Alligator mississippiensis: one gene and its partners. The protein of the gene in region 1 binds, or shares a complex with, the protein of each later gene. Links are inferred from orthologs where the notes say so. Each region holds a gene or a part of one and is shown on either strand. Other genes may lie near its edges.

Evidence for each region. The genes of interacting proteins can lie anywhere in the genome.
Region 2: EFTUD2 (region 1) and PLRG1 share a complex: the UniProt entries of both Homo sapiens proteins name them as parts of the minor spliceosome. The link is inferred for Alligator mississippiensis from reciprocal best matches to the Homo sapiens genes EFTUD2 and PLRG1.
Region 3: EFTUD2 (region 1) and CWC15 share a complex: the UniProt entries of both Homo sapiens proteins name them as parts of the minor spliceosome. The link is inferred for Alligator mississippiensis from reciprocal best matches to the Homo sapiens genes EFTUD2 and CWC15.

Annotation. Positions count from the first base shown.
Region 1 is NC_081827.1:161,814,837-161,822,641, forward strand, and holds the start of EFTUD2 (116 kDa U5 small nuclear ribonucleoprotein component), read left to right. Parts: upstream 1-4,746; 5' UTR 4,747-4,856; coding exon 4,857-4,961; intron 4,962-6,218; coding exon 6,219-6,384; intron 6,385-7,043; coding exon 7,044-7,122; intron 7,123-7,805. Other genes in the region: CCDC103 (coiled-coil domain-containing protein 103), read right to left, coding at 1-194, 1,171-1,303, 2,406-2,557, 4,266-4,391. UniProt on the Homo sapiens protein: Required for pre-mRNA splicing as component of the spliceosome, including pre-catalytic, catalytic and post-catalytic spliceosomal complexes. Component of the U5 snRNP and the U4/U6-U5 tri-snRNP complex, a building block of the spliceosome.
Region 2 is NC_081825.1:94,680,884-94,688,782, reverse strand, and holds the start of PLRG1 (pleiotropic regulator 1), read right to left. Parts: upstream 3,052-7,899; 5' UTR 2,957-3,051; coding exon 2,948-2,956; intron 701-2,947; coding exon 594-700; intron 365-593; coding exon 222-364; intron 1-221. UniProt on the Homo sapiens protein: Involved in pre-mRNA splicing as component of the spliceosome. Component of the PRP19-CDC5L complex that forms an integral part of the spliceosome and is required for activating pre-mRNA splicing.
Region 3 is NC_081824.1:447,192,882-447,200,978, reverse strand, and holds the start of CWC15 (spliceosome-associated protein CWC15 homolog), read right to left. Parts: upstream 3,052-8,097; 5' UTR 2,942-3,051; intron 2,375-2,941; exon of another isoform or gene 2,372-2,374; 5' UTR 2,367-2,371; coding exon 2,236-2,366; intron 1-2,235. UniProt on the Homo sapiens protein: Involved in pre-mRNA splicing as component of the spliceosome. Component of the PRP19-CDC5L complex that forms an integral part of the spliceosome and is required for activating pre-mRNA splicing.

The sequences.
Region 1 (7,805 bases):
TCACCACAGACATTCTCTGCCAACAACCTGAGGAACTCGCCCAGGAGGCCAAAGCCGAGATCCGCTTGAAAGATTTTGCCCAGGCCTGTGCCTCCGAGCTGCAGTAGGAACTGGTATTTTTCTTGCCCACTTTTTAAGCATCTGCGCCAATCTCTGTAGAATTCTGAAGAGGTTTCAGGTAATCGGTCCAACCCCTGGAAAGAAAAGACCAACAGCAATAAGTGAGCACCAGGCTTCTCCTGTTTCCTTTCCTTTCTACTTCTGAAATCCCTCTCATTAGTCTGTACACACTGATGACTGTCTGAATGTATGTGTGTGTAAGGGGGTATGGGATCCTAAGTAAACTGGCAAAACTCCCATTGACTTCAATGGGGCTGAGATTTCATTCCAAGGAAAGAATGGATGGTGGTCACACAAAACAGGTCACCTGTGGTAACTGAAGTCACAGGAAGAAAGGTAAAATAGTGCTATGGCTCAGAAGCCAATGAAGAGACAGCAAACAAAGTTCAGGAGTAAAAGGCTAGTTTTCACCCTGGCAATAAGGGAACAGTGGCAGAGACAGGATGTAGGACTAAATGGAGATCTGATCTACTCAAGAGATTTCAATATTTGGGATTTGTTTAGGGCTTGTTCACATATGGAACTGCTATTTCTTCTGAGTGGTCTTTCCTCAGGTTGGGGGAGGCCTGCTTTTTCGAATCCTCATTCTCTGCAACCTAACATCCACTGCTTTCTCTACTGAATGGCCTCTGGTCTGTTTTGAATTTCACACGCTATCTTGTTCTGCAATAACTTTCAGATGTCAACAAACCAATAGTGATGGAGGATTCATAGATGTAGGGTCGGAAGGGACCTTGTAGATCTTCTAGTCCGACCCCCTACACTGGGCAGGAGAGAAAACTGGGCTCAAATGACCCCAGCCAGGTAAATGCTGAGCCTCCTCTTAAAGACCCCAGGGTAGGAGCCATCACCACTTCCCTTGGAAGTTGGTTCCAGATCCTAGCTTCCCTGACTGTGAAGTAGCGCCTTCTAATGTCTAGTCTAAACCTACTCTCTAGCAACTTATGGCCGTTATTCCTTGTTACTCTGGGAGGCGCTCGGCGGAACAAGGTCTCTCCCAAACCACGCTGGTCCTCCCTAGTAAGTTTATAGACTGTTTTTTTTCCTCACCTGGGCTATTTCCACCTCGCTGTTCTGCTGGCACTTAGCTTGGGTTGCACAGGAATTCCACAGTAGGTTTTTCTTTTTTCCAAATTTATCCTTTTTTTCCAGGGGCTTCAGGTGTGATGCCTGCACAATATCCCTATAAGCAAAATCCTGTAAGAGCAAATACCCTCCACATCAACACCAACGCAATCCTGCAGGGAAAGGAAGTTGACTGGGCCCTGCAGGGGAAGGGATTGTGGCCAGGCCCCAACCCAACTCTGGGGTGGTGGTGGCCTGGCCCCAAGGGGTTGGAAGGGGTGCCCCAGCTCCAATAATCCAAAAACAGGGTGAAAGGAAATGGGGTGCTCTAAACAGCTGCACAGGGCTTGGGGTTTTGGCAGCAGGGAGAATGACTGTATTAATGTTCACTGCTCCCCCACCATCACATTTCTGGACCTGTGGGGAGCCCCATGGGCCAAATGAGTTGGCTCCATGGGCCACTATTGGCCTGTGGGCCAGAGGTTGAGCACCCCAGTCTAGAAATAAAAGTTTTTCCAGCCAAATGATGTTGGTTAAGGGTATGGTTTTTGTTCTCTCAGTTTTCTAGCAGATGCAGTTAAATGAAAATATAGGTGTCTTACATCAATATATAGCCTGTACTAGTTCCCAAATCAAACTAATACAAGCTTTTTTTATACTAGTATAACCACATCCACTTTAGAGGGGTTTGCCACTTATGCTGGCAATGTGTGTAAGATCTGTGCTGCGAAGGCCAGTCCCCTTTATGAGAAATGTTATAGTATGGGTGCTAAATAAACCTTTCCTTTCTTTTTAATTCCATTCTTCTTTGTTTTTAACACATCTTGTTTTGATTCAGATTCCTAGGGTCTGAGTAATTTCCCCACAGAGAGGAATATCTCATGACTTTTCTGAGAAGCTGCAGGATAGAGCTTTTGGAGTTACACGTCCCTTACCCAGCAAGTTGGCCTAGACAAAGAGCTCCTATCACAAGAAACTGTGTTGCCATTGAGTTGTGGGTGAAAGACATGGACCTGGTCACACATACTCCTTATTGCTTCAGACACTCTCACAGATTCAGTCCTCCTCACACAGGTGGGAGGATATGACAATACAACTTCTGAGCAGACAGTGTCACTACATGACACTCAGAAATACAAACTTTCATCCTGATGAAAGAAACACTGGATTGTTGTATTCCCAACTCCAGACTCGCCACATGAAACAAGTTGCCTGCAAACCTAAATTCTTCATAGGATGCCACCTTCTGGTGAACAGCTCGAAATTTGGCATCATTTTCTCTCCAGTACTTTTCATCAGCAGCAACAGCAGCCTGTAGTTCTCTCTCCAAAGCACAGAAATCTATTGCTCCAGATTTGTCCATGATGATAACCTGAGAGCAAAACATAATTAATGGCATGCACAGACCAAACAATTATACCAGTTTACTGTGACTCATGCTGAACCAACTTAACTATTTCATCTGTCCTCTCTGTATCAGTGTAACTTTACACCTGTTTCATTCAGTTTAATTCTGTTTATGCTGGGATGAGAATAAACAAGATGAAGCAGTTATAAGTGGTAAGTCCCTTTTACACACTATTTTAATATAGTGTATAACTGCATCTCTGATTTAGTTACTTTATAACGTCTGGCCTGCAGGCTGGATCCAGCCCATCAAACTGTTCCATCTGGCTTGCTGGTAGTCCAGCAGGCTACCAGAAGTTGACAGCATAGCTAGGAGGCGTGGTGTGCATACAGCCCTCGTTTGCCTCGTGCTCATCCCTGGACCCATGCTGTCACCAGCCCCCAAACCAAGTTACCTCATCCCCTGCCCTACACACCGTTGGCTTTGCAGATCCAGCCCAAGAGACCTTGGGGTCTAAATCTGGCCTAAAGTGCCAGGTGAGTTTGACACCGCTTATCTACAAGGTGCAATTCTACCCTGCCTGCTGCCTGACTTCAGACTAACATGACTAATGACCTCTATCTGCCCACAAGCCAGAATTACTTGGGGTGCATGAGCACCATGCAAGGGGAATATTCCTTGCTCTTTCACATCCTGTATATTACTTGAACTCTTGTTAGACTTGCTGCACGTATCTAATTATTAAAGGTGTACCAATACATTGGTCCCATATTGGATCAGCACCAATATAAGGCAAATTGAGTGTATCGGCTTTTTTTGGCTGGTGTGGCCAATAAATGCCCCATACATTCGCGAAGCTGCAGCACAGCATGCAGGCAGCCAGGAGTGCAGCCTGGCAGCATGAAGAGTAGACGGGTCTGGCCGGTAAGTCTATAGGGGGGGGCAGATTGAGGCCCCCATGGTGAGGGAGGGAGTGGGGCTGGGGCAGAGGCAGGTGCTGCCCAGCAAAGCCGGGGTGCAGGACTGGCCGCGCACAGGGAAAGGGGGTGATTCTTGCTGTTGTGCGCACCCCCAGGGGAGGCATGGGGGGGGGGTGCCCCTGAATCTGCGCGCAGGCCGAGGGCAAGCTGCCGCTGGGGGCTGGGGCCAAGGCAACACTGGGCTCTTCCCAGGTGGGGGGGCTGGACCAGGCTGTGCTTGGGGAGGATGGCGGCAGTGCTGGGAGGGGAAGTTGGGAGGGCTATGGCAAATTTTGGGGTGGCTGAAGCCCCGCCCCTAGCCCCACCCAGTGCCACCACTGCCCACCCTGAGCACAGCCCAGCCCAGCCCCCCTGCCAGGAAGAGCTCAACACAGCCCTGGCCCAACCTGCCCTAGCCCTGCACGCAGATGCGGGGGCACACGCCCCGCATGGCCCCCCCAAGGGTATGGGCAGCGGTGGGAGCTGCACCCCCCACCCCACACCTTCCCAAATGAGCCACTCCTGGCTCCGTCCTGGGCCCCCCAGCCCCACTCCCTCCCTCAGCGCGGGGTCCTCAGTCTGCACCCTCCACGGCCCTTCCCTCCCCCCACAACAGACTTATCAGCGGGAGGCTGCTCTCCACACTGCCCGGCTGCACATCAGCGATTGGAACGGTATCGGCTGAAACGGCTCGTTAAAAATCGGCCATTGGTATCGGCCCCCAAAAATCTATCGGTGCACCTCTATTAATTATACAGTGAGTTCATGCAAACCCCAATCTGAAATGATGACTTTGAAGTTGGGCCCAACTTTCCAGGGCACCTGCGTTCCATCTCAGCTGAGACAAGTCTCAGAAGAACACAAGAACTGCCCTTGACTGGGTCAGACCACCAGTCCATCTTGTCCAGTCTCCCCTGTCACGCCGCACTTCGGACCCCAGAGCGCTCCCCGCCGGGCCCGATCCCGGCCCCGGGGCTGCCCCGACACTGGTTCCCCGTCTCACCGACCGTCTCCATAGCAACAGCGGGACGCGCCGCCGAGGCCCCTTCCAGCCGGGGCTGCCCCACCCAGCGCCTGCTCGGAACCCAGACACTCCTCCCCCCAAAACTCAGGCCGGCCGCTCCCCACCCAGCCCCCGAGCTCTCCCCACAGCGGTTGCCTGGTGGAGGGGCACTGAAGTGACCAGCCCCTCAGGCGGGCAGCTTGGCCACCCCCCACGCGGTGGGGGGGGGGTCCTTCGACGCGAGCGTCGCACGGCGGCCGGCGCGCGGGAGGGCAGGCGCGCGGTAGCGGAGCCGGGTGCGTGTCGGGGCCGCTTTCGGGAGGGGAGGCGGAGACAGGCCTCGTTTTCGCCCCTTGGCGCCATGGACACGGACTTGTACGACGAGTTCGGCAACTACATCGGGCCCGAGCTCGACTCGGACGACGACGACGACGAGCTGGGCCGGGAGGCCAAGGACGTGGACGAGGTGCGGCCCCTCCCCGCGGGGGGCGGGGGGCCGCCGGGAGACGGGGCCCTCTAGACTCTCTCCCGTCTTCTCCGCTCTTGAGAGCTGGCTTTTGCAGGCAGAGGTCCAACCTGCAAGGGGTTGCTTGGGCCCCCCTGCCCCACACAGTGGGGGCTGGGGCGTGGGGGCAGGAGGCAGCAGGTCGGGCGTGAGGGGTCAGGACTGGCCACTGATGTTTACAAGTGGGTCCTGGTGCAAAAAAGGTTGAGAACCGCTGCACTAGGTCAGATGGATAGTGGGGGAGAGGGAGAGAAGGGCGGAGAGAGAGCGAGCGAGTTTTCACGAGCTGACACTTGCTTCACTTATGAAGTGAGCTTCAGCCCATGAAAGCTTGCATGCACTCACTCTTTCTTTATATGCATGTGTGTGTGTCTTAGTTACTTCCTAAAGGGGTGTATTGGCCTTGCCTCCTGATATAATGGAGAGACAGAAGTAGTGTTTATAACCCCAGAGCAGAGGCATGGTCACTGGGATGTGTTGTGTGGTGAAAGGGGCTGCACCTGATGACCCAGAACAATGTTCCTAATGGTGTGGTTGTTCAGAGTTGTTTACAGGCAAATGAAAAATAGTCACCAGTTTACCACGCAGATTCTTCATAGTTTCATAGTAGCTAGGGTCAGGAGGGACCTGAACAGATCAAACAGTTTTCTGAACAAATCTTATACAGTTAGAGTTTCATGTGCTGTATTTTGCAATTGTGCTTTGATGTGGAGCGTAGCCTGGCTTGCTGCTTGCTTGGCAAAACTTTGGTAGCCTATGTACATGTACAGAAGGCAACATCTTGTGGTTGCACAGAATCACAGGGTTGGGAAGGACTTCAGGGGACCATCTGGTCCAACCACACCTGCATGAATGTAGGAATGATGCTCCTAAATCATCCACATCCAGTGAATATTTGCATTTGGCAGTGGCCTCTGGAATGGATTCAAGGTGGGGAAAATGGCTGTTAAATAAAAATTGGGAGAGATTGTCAGCACTCCTGTCTGGACCTGTTTCTGATCAGTGCTAGAGATATTCAGTCCCGGTGCAGGTCCCAATCTTGGTGTAAGTCAGTGTGGCTTCCACCTGTGCTCATGATTTGATATGTGACCACAAGCGTTTTTCTATCCTAAAATGGGGTTGAGAATACAAACCTTAGAAGGGGTTTTGTGGATCTTAACATCTAAAAAGCTCTTTGAGATTGTTGGGTGGATAAAGTATTTCTGTTGTCGGTTTCAGCTTGATGATGATGACGATGATGACGATATGGGAGACCATGATGAAGATCACCCTGGAATGGAGGTGGTACTGCATGAGGATAAGAAATACTATCCCACTGCAGAAGAGGTCTATGGGCCTGAGGTAGAGACTATAGTGCAGGAAGAGGATACACAGCCTCTCACTGGTAAGTAATTATAGTCAGTAAATCAGATTTCTGATCAGGAAAGGTTTTTGTTGGCAATCATGGAAGGAAGAAAGGCTCTGAAATCCTGCTGGTGGTGGTATTACTTGCATCTTCTCAGACATTCAGTCTGTTTTGTCTTTGGCATTTTAATAGAAATTCTACTGAGAGTATTAACAAAAAAGAATTTAATTCATAAAGTAAAAGAACCAAGTCTCTGCTTAAAGGGAAAAAAGTGATAATGGAAATTGAGTTAAGCCTGCAAATGAGCCAAATATTTGGCTCCTTACCAGTTTTAATTTGCCTTATAAAAATCCTTTTCAACCTCCAAACTCCCAAGACTCTTTCCACTTTGTTAAAGATGCCCAGAGGCATCAGTGCACCATTGCGAACGCCAGAGGAGTTCTGTTGTGAGATGTGCAGAGCATACACTAACTGTGGCTGAAAAGATCTTAAAAGAAGGCAAATGAAAATCTGTTTCAGTTATGTCTTAATCTTCCCCAAATAAAGCAGTTAAAGTGGTGTCATCAACCTTAAATATCACTTTTTTTGGTCTAGTAATATGCTTAGTATTGTCTCAGTTAATGCCTTAGGTTAATGTCTCCAAACATCAGCATTTTAAGAACATTTTTTTTCACTGTAAAATTTTATTTTGGTTTCAGAGCCAATAATTAAACCTGTGAAAACCAAGAAATTCTCCCTGATGGAGCAGGCATTACCTGTCACTGTATATGAGATGGAGTGAGTACTGTATAGTTTTTTGGCTTTGTTTTTTAAGTGCACATCTGGTTTAGCTCTCCTGTATTTTTTTTCTCTTTCACTTTCCACCCAGGTTTGCCACTGGAGGGAAGGAAAGTTGGGGTGTGTGGGGGTTGCCTTGAGGAGAAAGCTGCTGCAAATTGAAGGTGCAGCCATTGTGCCTTTTAGTAGTATTGGAATCCTATTAATGTAACTGCCAAGGCAGTAACTTTCTGGTTATGTTTCTGTTCTCTACACAGGTTGCTCCTTAGTCATCTTGTTCTCACACTTTCTTTATGCCGCACAGATTGATCTTGTGGCTCTATTAGGCATGTTTTCAGCTTTCTCATGACTTTTCTTTGAACTCTTCTCATGTTGTTAAAATCATTCTTGAAGTGCAGACATCAGCACGACACACTGCCCTAGCAACGCTTAGTAAAGTTACTGGTAAATACGAGAGGTGCATTACCAGTAAAGTTACTGGTAAATACTATGCCCCGTGCACAAATCCGGGGCACACATGCCCCCCATGTTTCTCCTGTGGGTGTGCGCAGCGGTGGGGAGCCGTCCCCCTCCCTATACTCCCTGGCCAAGATGCCTGCAGGGTCACATTCACTGCCCTGGCTGGGCAGCACCTGCCTCTGCCCCGTCCCACTCCATCCCTTACCGTGGGGAGCTTTGATCTG
Region 2 (7,899 bases), on another chromosome or scaffold:
AGTCTAATATTGACAAAGACTTCCCTTGTTCTGAATCACTTGCATTCTAAAAAGACAAGCTTGTTACACACAGGATAATAAAAATAGATAGTTTTCCTTCTAAATCTCTCTCTCAATTAGAATGATCAGAGAATTATCTTGTAAAATTATCATAGCAATTCTAAGATTAAATTTCATATCATAAGACAATATTCAAAATATACAAGCAAAGGCAAACTAACCTTGATTTGCAGAATATTGTTTATGTCCATAAGGATCCACCACACCCTGGGAACCCTTCTCTCTCAAATTTTCCTTCAGCGTAGGCATGTGCAACACAGAACCATACTCTGTGTGAAGCTTAACTGACATCTTTACCTTGTGACTAGTTGAGAGAACAAAATTTATTAATACTTGATCTTCTGAACAACCGCAAATTTTAAAATGCTTTGGAAATCATTTAGAATCATGTCAGTTCTACTGCTTTCCTTTCACCACCTCTAGATAGTAGTTCTGCTTGAACATACACAATCTGACTTGGATAAAAGAAAGCAATTACTTGTATACACTAACATTTTAAGACACAGCAACAGGCTAGTGACAGCTATACTTACCTTTCTTCATCCAACGATACAGGTTTTGCATTATCAGCCACAAACATATCATGGGTCCTCTTCAAGGATCTGAACACAAGAGTGTGCACAGAATGTTTCTGTACATCCTACAAGAAGCCATAACAAAAATTTAAAGAAGAATCAAAAACAGCAATATAAATTAAATAAGGTAGTAATTTTTCTCCTTAGTAATTAAAAAAACAAACCAAAACAGACACTACTGAATTTGTAGAAGAGTACACTGCCATCCTTAGGAGCTGGGAGCTACAGATTTGGCCTGATAAATTGTTTCATTGCCCCCTCACTTAAAATAACACTCCTTCCTTGGGATAGTCTCATGATAAAGAAGAGCAGGCCAAAACTTTGACCAACTGTGTTTCCAATTCCAACCACTGAGGTAAATACAAACTGAAGATAAAAGCTTGTCCTTCACACTTACTGGTTCTTTGTTTATACATAGACAATAAAACAAATGGTTCAGGCGCATCAGTGGTGCAGGCCTACTCATTTGATTGCAACCACAGAGCAAACAAATGGCAAAGAAAGATCATTTAAGAACTACCACACAGATGATGGCACATGTGTGCATGCCTCTTAGCAAGAAACAGCATGTTCTTGTGGATTCCAAAACCTGCAGGCCTTGGTTTATCGATGTAATTGCTTTGCTTTTTCTTGAAGTACAAAAGCACCATTCAAGAACTAACAAAATTAACAATACCAAAGTAAAATTAGGGTTGGAAAGGACCTCAGTAGGTCATCCAGTCCAACTAGGAGTGCACTGATAAAGATTTTCTGGGCCAATACCAATGGCCGATTATTAACCAGACATATCAGCCAATACCAATTCAGTAGCCAATTTAAAGGAATGCCGCTGGGCAGGGCGGGCAGCAGCAGCACTGGGAGGAGCGACTACAGGGAATTTTTGGGGTGGCTGTAGCCCACCCCTCCCAGGACTGCTGTCCATCTCACCCCCTCCCATCCTGAGTGCAGCCCAGGCCCCCTACCAGGAAGAGGACAGCCCCTGACCCTGCAGCAGGCAGCCTGCCCTAGCCCCACGCACAAATCCGAAGGTGTGTGTAGTAGTCCCTGAAAGAGCTGCCCACATTTACCGCCCTGGCTGGGCAGTGTCCCCTGCCCTTGCTCCACTCTTTCCCTCACTGTGGGGACCTCAATCTGGCCCCCACCACACTACATCCCTTTACCCTTCCTCCTATGCCTTCTTCCCCAAAGACTTAGTAGCCAGATGCTGCTCTCCAAGCTGCCAGGCTGCACTCCTGGCCACGTGCATGCTGTGTCTGTGTGCATGCATATGGCATTTATCGGTAACATTATCAGCTACACTGGCCAAAAAAAGGCCAATTGCTGATAATGTTAATTTTCCTTGTATTAGTGCTGATCTGATATGTGATCAGCATATCAGTACACCTCTATATCTAACCCCCTGCTCAAAGCAGGACCATTCCCAATGAGATCATCCCACTCAAGGCTTTGTCTAGCCAGATTTTTTAAAACCCCAAAGGATGGAGCTTCCACCAGCTCTCTGGATAACCTGTCGCAGTGCTTTACTACCCTCCTAGTGAGAAAGTTTTTCCAAATATCTAAGCTTCTTAATATCTTCCCTTGCCACAGCTGAAGACCACATCTGATACCCAAAGTTACATTTCTCCCAGGCTACTAGAGGGATCTTGGGGGACACTGACCAGATACTGAGTTTACCTCCCACCAGGGAGGGAAACACCCCTTGCCCAACACCATCTTAGGGGTCCTCCTCTGCTCAGCAAAGTTCTTTGAGTAGATGTGACATTTTTTATTGGACCAACTGAGATAAATATATACAATAAAAGTTTATATAATATAACAAGAGATATCACATGCATTCAAAAAGCCTTTGCCTGCCTCAAAGCAACACAGATGCAACCAAAAACCCAACTCCTATGCTAGCGCATTTGCCAAACACACTATATGGGAAGTGCTGGTAGCTGTAAACGACCGCAGATCAGTCCCTTGTCTTGGTGACAGGTGCAATGCCAACATGACGTGCAACAAGGCCACCTGGCCCAGTCCCCTGAGTGCAGTGACCTTGCAACCTATCTTCCTTGTGCTTTACTGGCCGGGAAGGTAGGCATTTACAATTCATTTATAGCGCGGACATAAGCGTCCGAACTCTTCAGAGTCAATGCATCCTCCCCGCCCCCCAGGCCCGTGGCCGGGCAGAGGCTGCAGGAGGCCGGGGCTCAGGCTCCAGCTCCAGCCCTGTGCATGGCCCCTCAAGCCCCCCCCACGCCGGGACACCGGCCCGAGCCCCAGCCCGCCCCGAGGACTGACGGGGAATGCGCGCGGGACCAGGCGCTCACCTCCACCATGGCGCCTCCTCGACAGCAGCCGCCGAACCGCTATTAAAGCACTTCCGGCCCCTGTCGGAAGTGACGATACCACGACCCGCTCGCGAGAGCCGGCGACATTAGGCCGCGCTGGAAAGGGAGGGAGGAGGAGAGTGGGGGGGGAGAGGCGGAGCGCAACATCGCCCAATAGGGGGAAGGGGCGGGGCGTGAGGGGAGGGGGTGGGGCGTGAGGGGAGGGGGTGGGTCGCGCCCTGGCTGACGGCTGGCCTTGACTCTGGGCGGCCCAGTGGACCGAGGGTTCGAGCCCCGGCTGCCCGAGGGCCACCCTCGGCCGCTGCAGCCCTATAGCCAATTTTGTGAGAAGTATGAGGCTTGAGATCTGTATAGAGGAGTTTCATAGATTACCTTCAAACTTCTTGAAACTGAACTAATGTCTCCTGTGGCAGGGGTGGGGTAGGAATCTGTAGCGTATACAATTTTGGCAGTGACACATTACTGTATTAAAACATCAGGTTCATAGTGAACAGTATAGATAAAGTTGCAACTTGGTAGCAGGGTATTATTGTATTGTAACAATAGCCTGGTAATCAGTCTTATAAAATTTAAATATAGCTTCCATTAAAACTCACTTCTCATCACATTTTTAAATATCTCTTTTTGTCATTAAATTATCTATTCTATCCATACTAGATGTTGCAAATGTATATGAATTAGCTTTGTTCTAACAAAGTTACAGGCATATGTAATTTGAATCCAAATCATAAGTGGCAGGCCATCTTAAATTGAAAGAAAATCTGAAATCACATTTATGACATTTGATAGGTTTCAAGATAGGTTGAGAGGCTGCTTTAATTAAATATGAGATCAGAGCTGACCCACCTTTCATTTTTCAGTGTAATAGGCAGAATATCTCTGGATTTTCCCCCACTTTCTTTTACTCCAAAATAGCTTACTCAAATTTGCTAAAACTTTAATCTCTCCCCCCACACACACCCCCACACCCACATACACTTTGAAATTAAATTCTGAAAATTTCACCCAAAAGAGAAATCTTGAATAAAGTTGAAATCAACTGAAAAAAAGACTGGGGGGGGAGGGGGAGGGGGACAGCCAGCGGCACATGTGCCCTAAGTGGCATAGGCAGCCTCTGTCTGTGGCAGACAGCAAATCAGGGAGGCAGCAGGGAGCTGCAGATAGAGCAGAAAGCAGAGCAGCAACTCAGGCAGAGGAAGAACAACTGAAGGGGGAACTAGGAATGGATGTGGGTCTAATTTGTGATATGCCTGCCAAAAAAGGTTGACACTTACTGGTTTAGAATTTGTATATTTTGGCAACTTCATCTACAGCTGCTGACTTCTATATTTTTGTTTTAGCCAAACAAAAATGCCTTATTTCTACCATCCAATGTTGCCGATTTCTTGATGGTGAATATATTTAACTATATAACAGCTGTATAGAGCTGGTGAACGTAAGTATATATACTAATTACAATTACACATCTTGAACAGATGAGTGCAGTAGTTAGCTTTCAAAAAGATGCCCAGTATTTAACTCAGCCTTTATAACACTGGTTAGAGCCTGCTGAGCAAGTCTTTACTGCCAAAGTGAGCAAATATCTTTATAGGATTGCTCTGTGAGTTTGGACTTGATGTCTTGTGATTTAATCCAACTTCTTCTTTGTGCTGTGTAATGGAGGAGTATTTTGGAAGAGTCTAAATTTTTAATTGGAGCTCTGCTGTATTAAGATTTAAGTGTGAAATTAGCCGAAGTGAAGTGTAAAAAGAGAAATAATTCTAAAACTGTAAAATGTAACTTTAAAAGGAAAACTGTACTGTTATGTCAAATTAGGATAACTACATCAACTAACAAAGAGTAAATGCCTAAAGAAGCAAGGACCTATTTTTCAAAGAGCACATTTTCACTTACCTTTTAACATACAGTTACCAAGAGAATATATTTGTAGTTACAAGCATCTCTTTATGTATCAGCATTATTTATACATATACATCCACATTGCTTGCATTTGGTCTTTAATAAAGGCAGAGAGAGGGAATTGTTATCCTTTGTGTGTCTACATGGTAGTTTTCCGTTAAATAAATAGCCTTTTTGTCACTTATACACTTTACAATTCTGTTACCGATATAGTGTGGTAGATATGTAACTGTTGCACATACCCATTGGCCAATGCATAGGTATAAGTATAGGTTTCTAGGAAGTGGTTAGGTGGTAACTGTAACTAAGTGGTTAGGACATTTCCCAAGGAAGCATAGAGGGGGTGCTTCCCCCTTCTAGGCCACAGGATTTGAATCTTCTTTTTGACCACTGTAATGGGGTGTACCCCTCACGGGTGGTCATGGCTCCCTGGTGGCCCTCTGGCACCTATCTGCCTACCCTGGCATCCTAATCTGGCTCCTCTCTCCCTCCTGCCATGCCTTGATGCTATAAATTGATATGTTATTTAGAAGACTGCCTTTGGGTAACCAAAGTCTAGTCATGGGTACCTTACTTCCCCCTCCTCCTTCGCAACTACAGGTCTGACCAGGCAGCACAGAGGTCCACCCCTCTCTCCCTCACTCTCATTGTCAGCCACTATCATTGGCTGGGACCCTGCCCTGTTGGGCTCCAGCCTGCCTGTCTTTAGTCACTGCCCCTGGCCTGTCTGGGCCTCAACCCCACCCAGGTCTCCGGTCCACTAGTCCTCAACCCCCTCCATGGCCCCTTCCAGTCCACTGGGTGGTATTAGCAGTATGAGCAGAAATAACAAAAAGAAAAGTAGACCCCAATCAAGTTAACATAAAAGGTCTTTGGGCTGTACCCTCTCTCCCAGGCCTCTCCTGGCCAATGTAAATGGTCACCATTCCTCTAGGTTTGTTCATTCCCCAGGGCTCCTCCTGGGTTAACATAAACAGCTCTCAGTCTTCTGGGTGCCCACTTCCCCAGGATCCTTCCTGAGTTAACACCAAGAATCCCCCAGGGCTTTGCATGCACTCATTCATTCAGTCTTTCTTCCCTGATAGGGGCTCCTCCTTTCAGGCATCAGGTGCTCTTGCCAGGCTGGCATTCGTTCCTGGCTCTCTGGAACACTCCATCCTTCTCAGCCACAGGGATGGAACTGGACTGGACTGGACTAGACTGGACTGGACTGGGTCGGTCCTCCCCTCCCTCCCCCCCACCTTCCACTCTGGCGGGGAGTTTATATCCTAGTCATCTCTGCCACCTTTGTCAGCTGGCCAGGCTTCCTGTTCATCTGGCCCAGTGTGACTGCGACGGGCCGCCATCACGGGTACAGGCAGAGGATAGGCAGGACAGGGGGGCAACAACACCACCTCAAGAAAGCCACGGGCCGGGCTACTCACCCCCGGGAGGGATGGCAGCGTCAGAGCTGGGACCGCAGCAGCAGACGCGGCCGCCATTACGGCCGCGCGAGCCGGCACTACGCCGGCTTTTTAAACAGCTGTTCTCAACAAGGGGAGCAGCTGAGCCAATCGCGGCAGCCGCAGCGGCTGCCGCGGGAAGTTTGAAAGCCCCGACAAACCCCGTGGAAAGGGGGAAGCCAGAGGAGGAGAGAGGAGGCGTGCAGCACGTCACTGCCGCTGCGGCTTCCCCAAAGCCAGAGCCTCAGGCAGGCAACTGGGCATCAGTCCAGCAGCTGGGGCGAGAGCCAGAAGCCCCGGTCGGGGCAAGAGGAGTGACTCCCAGGGTTTGCTGGGAGCAGAGCAGCAACTCGGGAAGTTCTCCCATTCCCGAGGAGCAGTATTTTTGAGAGCAGGGGAGAGAAGAAAGGAAAGGACCCGAGCTAGCGGCCGGGTCAGGCGGAGGCGGAGCCAGGCTGCCTGAGGACGACCGTTGGCCTCGGGGAGGCCTGCCAGAAAGAAGTGCTGCAAGTAGCAGCGGATGACCATCTCATCAACAAGTGACCAGTTGGCGAGTGGACGGGGTGTAGGGGTGGCGGAGCCCCATGGAACATCTGAGGACCCAACCGTGAGTACCCCCCTTTACGTCAGGCAAGCCCCTCTGGCAGAAGATCTCCACTGAACCCCTCCTTCGAATCACTTAACATCCAAGTCATGGCAGGCGGGACGAGGGGGAGGGGCTACCATACCAAGGGCGGTACCGGACGTGAGGCCCACGGACGTCATACCCAGGTATAGCTAACCTCCCCTTCCCACTCAGTGCAGTGTTTTTCAGCCAGATGTTTGCAAGCTAGGCTCTGCAGAAGTGAGTCCATAGCCCAGTGTCAGTCATCTTGCTTCAGGAGGTTTCTGCTCTCACCTTCAACAAACAGCTTGCTCTCTCTTGCTCAGCTGGGTCTCTCTCCTGGTAGCTGGGACCTCTATTCTTCTGGCTACTCTGGAAGGGCTTTTCCTGCTGCAAGCTATCCCCCTCTCCTCCTTGGGCTACAAAAGTTCTGGCTTTAAATGGGCCTTGCTGATTTTTCCACCCTTGCCCTCTTTCCCCCAAAGCAGAGTTCCCTGTTACACCACCACACTACAGATTAGGCCACTGACTCACAACCAGAGTGTCACAGCATCTTGGGGTACCATGAGATCCTTTTAAGGGTGCCCTGCTATATAAGCACTGTTGCATGTGCCAACACCTAAATGATTCACAGGATAAATCTAGAGATTCCAAAAAGTAATCCATGGTGTCAAAAGCATTCTGATCTGTTGTGGCTGTTCTGAATTCTTTGCAACAGAAGAATTGCCGTATTATTTTTCTGTTATAAAAAGCAAGTCACAGGTGCCCTCTCCAGCACTCCTTTTGAAGCTGGGCAGCCAAAAGGGCTAAGAAAAAGAGGTTGAAACGGAGGGAGAGTGGCTCAATAAGAGGTGTGCTGCTTTGGAAGGCAGGAGGGCTAGTTTCTAACTTGGTCCTTTTCTTTCAAAAGGTGCAAGATCTTCTCCATTTATTTTATCCATGAATATTAAACACAAGGTGCTATGCCTCTGCTTCAAGCTGGACAC
Region 3 (8,097 bases), on another chromosome or scaffold:
GTTAAGGTTGGATATTAGGAAAAACTCTCTCACTAGGAGGGTAGTAAAGCACTGGAACAGGCTACCCAGAGAAGTTGTAAAATCTACATCCTTAGAGGTTTTCAAGACACCGGTAGACATAGCCTTGGTTGGGATGATCTAGTTGGGGACAGTCCTGCTTTGAACAGGGAGTTGGACTAGATGACCTCCTAAGGACCCTTCCAACCCTAATTTTTGTGATGGTACCAGAGACTTCTTAAATATGCATGAGTGGAAATATTGTATATAAACACTTATTGATGTGCTTTTTCCTACTTAGAAAATTAGGGCTGGAAGGGACCTTAGGAGGTCTAGTCCACCTCCCTGATCAAAACAGGACTGTCCCCAACTAGATCATCCCAACCAAGGATTTGTCTACCGGTGTCTTGAAAACCTCTAAGGATGCAGATTCCACAACTTCTCTGGGTAGCCCGTTCCAGTGCTTTACTACCCTCTTAGTGAGACAGTTTTTCTTAATATCCAACCTAAACTTTTCTTTCTGCAACATGAGCCCGTTGTTCCTTGTTCTGTTATCTGCCACCACTGAGAACAGTCTTGACCTCCCCTAAGGTCCCTTCCAACCCTAATTGTCTAAGTAGGAAAAAGCACATCAATAAATTTTTATATACAATATTTCCATTCATGCATACTTAAGAAGTCTCTGTCAGCAAAGTTGATTTATATTAACCCACATTAATATAAGGTTTCCAAGGACTGTTCAATTTTAGGTGCCAATATTAAAAGAATGTAAAACAAGTGAAATGAACAGGAATGAACTCCACCCCTCTATGAACTCACTTCTAGAAATAAGTGCTTACAATACCTAAAGGAATCCTAGACTTCAGCAGTTATAAAATATACCATAAGTATTAACATATTGTTCAATTTTCCTACTGTATAAATAAGAACAAGGAACTGGAGTGCCCACAATTGATGTTACCATCACAAGAATCCAAAATGTTACCGTGTCATTCAAAAAGAGGTGACGGACTAAAGTGACCACTTTTAAATTTGTGTGATGAAGTTCTGGCTATATATTTAACAAAGCCAACCTATTAGATCAGTGTTCAGGAAGAATAGCAGAAGATACCAAAAAAAAACCATCCAAAAGAACAATAAGTTATATATTATATACTCGTATGCATTTTTGCCTACACTGCCCTCTGTAAATGAAAAATCACAACAACATTCCTTCTACTAAAAAGCCATCATAAACTTAAAGAAGGAGCATCAAACTCATCCAGCCCAGCAGATCAAATGAGAGGCACAGGGCCAGTCTACAGGCTGAAATCAGGTATACAGACTGCCCCCTGCATGCTAGAATTGGCATGCTTCCTGGACCAGCCCCACATACTGCATGCAGTAAGCATGCCAGCCCCATGTTGTGTGGGGAACTAGTCTACTTCCCTGATCCCGACCAGCCCCGCATCCCACATGCAGCACATGGGGATGATCCAAGACCTACAGGCAGCACCGCAGACTGAATGATAGGGCTGCATGGGACAGATCTGGCCCACAGGCCATATATTTGACACCTCTGACCTAAAGAACAAACACTTTCAGAATGTGGTTGGTAATAAAAGTAAAGGAAAACATCACTGAAGATACTGGAAGTGAACGGGCAAAACTGCCAAGTGATCTACCTTGCCCAATGCGAGTCTATTATCCTCCTCCACCTGCCAGTCTCTCCACAGGTTATTTTTTAATCAATATGTTCATTCAAAACTATCTGTCCTTTTTTTTTTTTTTTAAGACCCCATCCAACCTCAAAAACCATTTTTAGCATGTCTCATCACCTTATTTGTTCTGTAAATGTTACCAGTTATGATATGCATACAGTTACGTCTTCCTGTCTAACATGTCCCTATATCCTTTCCCAAAACAACCTCTGGGGGCAGGATATCTTTCTTATCCAGTTCACCCTCTGTGTACCCAGACCACTTCTGAATACCTGCTTCCATCATGGTACCCAGAAACCGCAAGTTAACAGTACATTCAATAATAAAACACTCTAATAATTTCAAATCCATTTTATCTTCTGTATCTGCCCCTTAGGCTAAAGCTTGCAGTTCTTTTTCTAGTTCAGCAGTAATCCCCTTTCCACGCAGAGGGCTAATAATTATAGTACTTGTTTTTCAATAATTACTCGCGTCTCAAACTAGGTTTAACGAAGAATCGCTGCGCAAAATATTTCAGGAGAAACAAACCAGCGCTTACCTGTATTTGATTTTAGTGTGAGAAGGAAGATCTCTGCTGGAGTACTGCTTGGAGAGCTGGCTTAAGTCTCCTTCGCCTTTTCCTCGCCCACCCCTCGCAGGTTCAAACGTTGGCCTGGCAGCTGTTGTCATCTCAGCTACTTGGGAATCCAATGCAAAATATGGCCGTTACTACTAACTGTGGTGAGAGACACGTACCCGCGGGTGCGCTATCTAGGAATCACCGCGTCGAGAACGCTTCCTAACGCGAGGCGTTCACACACCTGGGCTGCAACACGGCCTGTCACAACCCGGCCGGCAACCATTTCGTTATACTGAAAGGGAGGGAGATTTTCAAGCGGGTCAGGCTGAAGTGTGACACCACCGAGGAGTCACATAAGAACACACAAATTTGCCATTTGCTGGACCAGGCCCTCGGTCCAGGCTGCCCAGCAGCTGGTGTCACCGGGGGGGTTGTTTCAATGGCTCCTCTCCGCTCGCAGCCTCCAGCGTTGCAGGACGTGACCCGGAGGCCGGGCGGGAGGCTGCGGATGCCCCTTTGCCCCAACACCGCGCCGCCCCCGGTGCTTCCAGCTCCGCCGGGGCCCGGCGCGGCGGGGGCCTGCTCTCGGCTCCTCCCCCCCCCTTCTGCCGGCGGGAGGCGCTGCGAGGACCCAGCAACCCCTCCCCTGCCCGAGCAGGCCTCGCTCCCCCCGCCCACAACGCACCGTATTAGCCCCGCGCCTCCCCGGGCGCCGCGCCACTCCCGGCTGCGCTGCCTGGCGCCTAGGCCACCACCATAACTCCGCCGCCGTCCCACAAGGCGCCGCGCGCAGACCATAGGGGCGGGGCGGGGCGGGGCGGGGTGGGGCCAGGCTCAGCCGCTTCCCGCCTATGAGCAGATCAATGCGTCACGTCCGAGGCCGGGCCGCGTGTCCGCCATGATTACGGAGGCGGAAGTTGCCGCCCTGAGGTTGTTGTGGAGACGGCGGCTTCCCGCTGCACCCCCCCGGACGCTGATTGGCCGCAGAGCCCGCCTGTGAGTGCTTGGCCCCGCCCCCGGGACGCCTGCGCAGTGGGCGCTCAGTGGCAGTAGGGGCTTTTGAGTTTTTGCCCAAATGTTTATTTCTAATAAATATAAACAGCTAAACATATATATATATCTATATATCTCTGTATATATATAACTATATATATAAATAAGCTGTATATAACTACATATATATAAAACTATTTAAACTATACAAATATATATATAACTATATATATGTGTGTGTGTGTGTGTGTGTGTGTGTGTGTGTATATATATATATATATATATATATATATATATATATATATATATAAAAAACACTTTATATAACTAAACATAGACAACTGCCTCTGACAAGCTGTCATGCGACTGCTGTGGTTCACTTGAGAGACCAAAAACACACTTTTAACTAGGGTTGCCGACCCCCCCAGGATTGCCCTGGAGTCCCCAGGAATGAGATACAAGCTCCAGGAGACTGCCAAGAGTCACCCAGGAGATGCATGATAGGGCATTCATTAAAATCAATTATGAAATGTCGCATCCGATTTATACAGTAGTCCAGTGTGTTTTTAAAATGTAATAGTCATGTGCATTTACCTTCCTGAGTACAGTCAGTAGATCCGTCATTAATGTCATTACATCATGTGATTAAACCTCCCGGGATAGATTCAAACAGAGTTGGCACCCTACTTTCAACAGTTACATTATTTTTGTCCCATTACAAAGTTTGCCCGTGCACCCACCACCATTCCCTTGAGAATGTCAGAGTTTCATAAAAGACCCCTCAGTGCTCTCCCTCTGCCTCCACCCAAATCGTCCTTCTGTTTGTCCGGTCTCTTCACTCGTTATATTCTTGATTGAGGAGGCATCTGTGAGCACATCTGTGGGCCCATCCCAGTGCTCCCAGGTTGGCAACACCCCCACCCCATGAGCCTGGCTGCTTGCTCCGTGCCAGCAAGTCTCATCCAGGAGCCATGGTGCCCAGGTGGTGCCCAGAGATCCTTTGAAGGGTGCCGCGAGCTGAGCCCGCTGTTAGCACATTTAGGGGCTGCAGGTGCTTAGACATGATTCCCATGGGAATCCTGGGCATCAGCAGCACGCTCAGGCAGCAGAATCCCGGTCTCTGCAGCAGCAGAATCGCTCTGTTGCTTTGTCGTCATGATGATAAACATCAGGGACTGGGTCAGGCCCCAGGGCCGGCTGGCCCAGTGCCCTGTGTCACACGGGGGCAGACAGCAGACAGTGGAAGGGAGCGGGACCTGGGCCTGACCAGGGTTTTCTCCCCTGTTCCTCTCTCACTTACAGCCTCCAGCATTTAAGGTTTAGGAAGTGCTGATTCTGAGGCCGTGCCCCTCTCTCCCGAGCTCGATAACTCCTGATGCCCCTTTCCTGCAAGAATGTGTCTGCTCCCTCTTTTCCAATCCCAAAGAAAGAAGTGAATGCCAAGAGCTGCCACTTTCTGGTTGTCTTGAGCCTAATGAGGGGTGCCTTCAGCAGTGCTCAACCTTTTTCCCCGGTGGGCCCAATCGGCAGCACCTGGTCCGACTACGGGCCAGATAAGGCTTCTGATCCAGAGTCCAGGGTCAATGCAGTAGCCACCTCTGGCCACGTGGAGGAGGTTGGGCAACAGCCTGGCCTGGTCCCAGCCAGGCAGCGGGGAAGGGACTTCACAGGGCTGAAGGGGAAAGGAGCATGGCCTTGTTCCCCCTCAGGGGCAAGGTGACCTGGCGTGGCTGTGACTGGGCACATGGGCTTGGTGTTTGGGAATATGGCAGGGGGAGAGGATGGCCACCGCTCCCCCACCACCAAATTTTCTGATCCGTGGGGAGCTCCACAGGCCAGGTGCATTGGCTCTGCAGGCTGCATTTGGCCTGCAGACCAGAGGTGGGCACCCCGGGTCCAAGAAGGATGAGAACCACTGATCTGTGTGCTTACAATCTCAGGGCAGCAACTTTCCAAGCACAGCCTCCTGCCGAGGCTGCAGCTGATGAGACTATCCAGCAGGGGGCCCCAAAAGCTAAGGGTAGAGAATCAGGAGCTGCCCTTCCCCTTGGCCCGACAGCCAGGGAGAGATGCACCAGTTAGTGGATAAGCTGCCTCTTTCCTGTGTCTAACACAGCCCCTTATCTCCCTCTACCCAGTGAGTATTGCATCACTGGATGACTTGGCATCTGATTATGTCAGAGACTGCTTCTTACGCACTGTATCTGTGCAATGCAGCTGTGGAATTTAGCTCTGTTGTTCCCCAGGACTAGGGTTACCATATGTCTGGGTTTTCCCATACATGTCCTCTTTTTGGGTCCTCCGATCTCTGTCCAGGCAGTTTTTCTAAATGTAATTGAATATCTGGGATTTTGCTCCTCTCCGCTCCGCTCCACTGGTGACTGGAGGCAGGGTCACCAGGTGCATCTGTGGCTGGCACGCAGCCAGGCAGGGGGTGGGAGCAGCCTCAGCAGCTGATGTAGGCAAGGCTGTGAGGACAGGGGTTGGAGAGCCAAGGCTTCATGACTGTGGGGGGGTGCAAAGGGTGCGGCAGGGCACAGGGGCAGGAGGGAGACACCTGACCCTTCAACAGGGGAAGGGGTGGGGGGTCCTTTGGGGGCAGCAGGGAGCTGCACGGATGGGCTAGTGGCACCAGGGCAGGTACCCATGCTTGCAGGAGCAGGGCACCTGGGAAACACTGCCCGGGGGCCAGGATGCATAGATAGCCCACCTGGCGCAGTGCAGAAGCCCCAGCCTGGGGCAGGGGGTGTTACAGGTATCATCTCATCCTACCTTCAGCCTGTGCTAGGAGCAGACTCGCTCCACTGCTGCCCGCACGAGCCAGAGCCACTGTAGCTGCTGCGTTTTGACCCAGTTCGAATGGGGGCAGCTGGAGACCCCCTCCAGCCCTGCTGGAGGGAGTTAGGGGGGCTGCAGGTCAGGAGTGAGGGGCACCGGCAGGGCCAGGGGTCTGTGGGTCAGGAGTGAGGGGCAGCAGCAGGGACGGGGGGCTGCAGGTTGGGGGTGAGGGGCACTGGCAGGGTCATGGGGCTGTGGGTTGGGAGTGAGGTATCCTCCCTGGCTGGTGTCCTCTTTTTTGGAACTGGAAGTATGGTAACCCTACCCAGGGCTGAATTCTGGAGGTGGTGGCAGGACATTCCTAGCTGAACACCTGCCCTCCCAAATGTGGTTCCTTCAACACTTTTCCCGAGTGCAGCTCTAATGGGTCCCAGGGCATGGCACTAGGTGCATTCATTCAGTCTCAGGTTGGGTTTTTTTAAGCTTTTTGTTTGATGGTTTTTAGAGTTTCTCTCTTACTCTGGGTTTTACTTTGCTGTCTTTCAGCCCAAGTGACATCACAAAACATGAGGGTGCTGGATGATAATTGGCTGCTGCTCTTCATCCCAGCAGCGTCTACATTTCTCCTGTAGGTGTAAACCTACAGATGTGTTTGCAGGCTCAAAATTACTGTGGAATCTTTAGTGTGGTTGAGAGAGTAACTCTTGGGGGGATAGTGAAAGAAATGGAGCAACTGAGCTAGGGGTGAGTTAGCAGACAGGGCTCACTGACATTTTCACAGCCTTCACACCAGTGATTACAGAATATGTGCTCCATAACTGACCAACATATTGTATTGTACATCAGGAGGGACCTGCCTACACACACGCACACCTTGAGAGAATGTTTATTCCCAGCTCCAGCTCCAGGTCCGGGCAGGATAAACCTAACACAGGGAAGGGCAAATTCTGCAAAGCAAAGGTCCATTTTCTTAGCTCTGCAGAGTAAAAAATGCTGGATAGAGGAAAGGCACTTTAGCGCAGGTGACAAAAAGGAGGGGAAAAAAAAGTATAATATATGTGTATATATATGTATGTGTATATACATATATATGTATATATATGTATGTATGTGTGTGTGTGTGTGTGTATATATATATATATATATATATATATATATATATATAAACAACATAAAAATAATAAGAAAATTCATGCTTTTGGGGGATAGGAACCATCTTTTTGTTCCATGTTTATAAAGCACTTAACACAATGGGGTTCTAGTCCTAGGCACAATAGTGATACAAATAAACAGGAACAATAATAATTATGAAAATGACAACTTTGCCCAGGTTCATGATGCCAGATGATAAGGGAGCACTCCTAGGGTGTGGTTAGAAAGGAATTTTTAAAATACTAATGTAAAGCCTTTTATTAAAAGTTTGGAAGAATTAAGAATCTATTAACCACCCAACACTTCTGGATTCTAAAAAAAGATGTTGAGAAACTGGGCTGGATGTAGGGGAAAGCTAGAAAAATGATTAAAGGGCTGAAAAAATGTTTTGCAATGAGACAGACTAAAGGAACTCAACCAGTTTATTTTATACAATGATTCAAGATGTGCCTTGATTATGGTTCATAAAGATCCTGTTAGTATCCGTTATCTTCTCCCCAAGAAAGTGTCTATGCATTGTGATTAAGTCACATCAGTTTTCTTTTTGAGAAGTTAACAGGCTTAGCTTTTCTGTTTCTCACTGCAAAACATTTTCTTCATTCACTAAATAATTTTAAGGGCTCTTTTCTGCATCTCTGTAGGTGGATGTATGCATGCAGGGATAAACTCAACTCCAACTCCTACTCTACAACATCTAAGCATTCTTCCAGTCTTCTGGAATTTCCCCAGTATTCAACCATCTGTAACAAACTAACAGCAGTTTGTTGGACATCTCCTCAGTCAACACTTTTAAGACTCTCAAGTGCATGCTTTTGGGGCCTGCTGATTTGAAAATATTTATCTCAGCATCCTCCATCTCTCTTGGCCCTGGCTAGAGCCAGAGATTGCTTAAGGACCACCACTTACCTGAACTCCCAT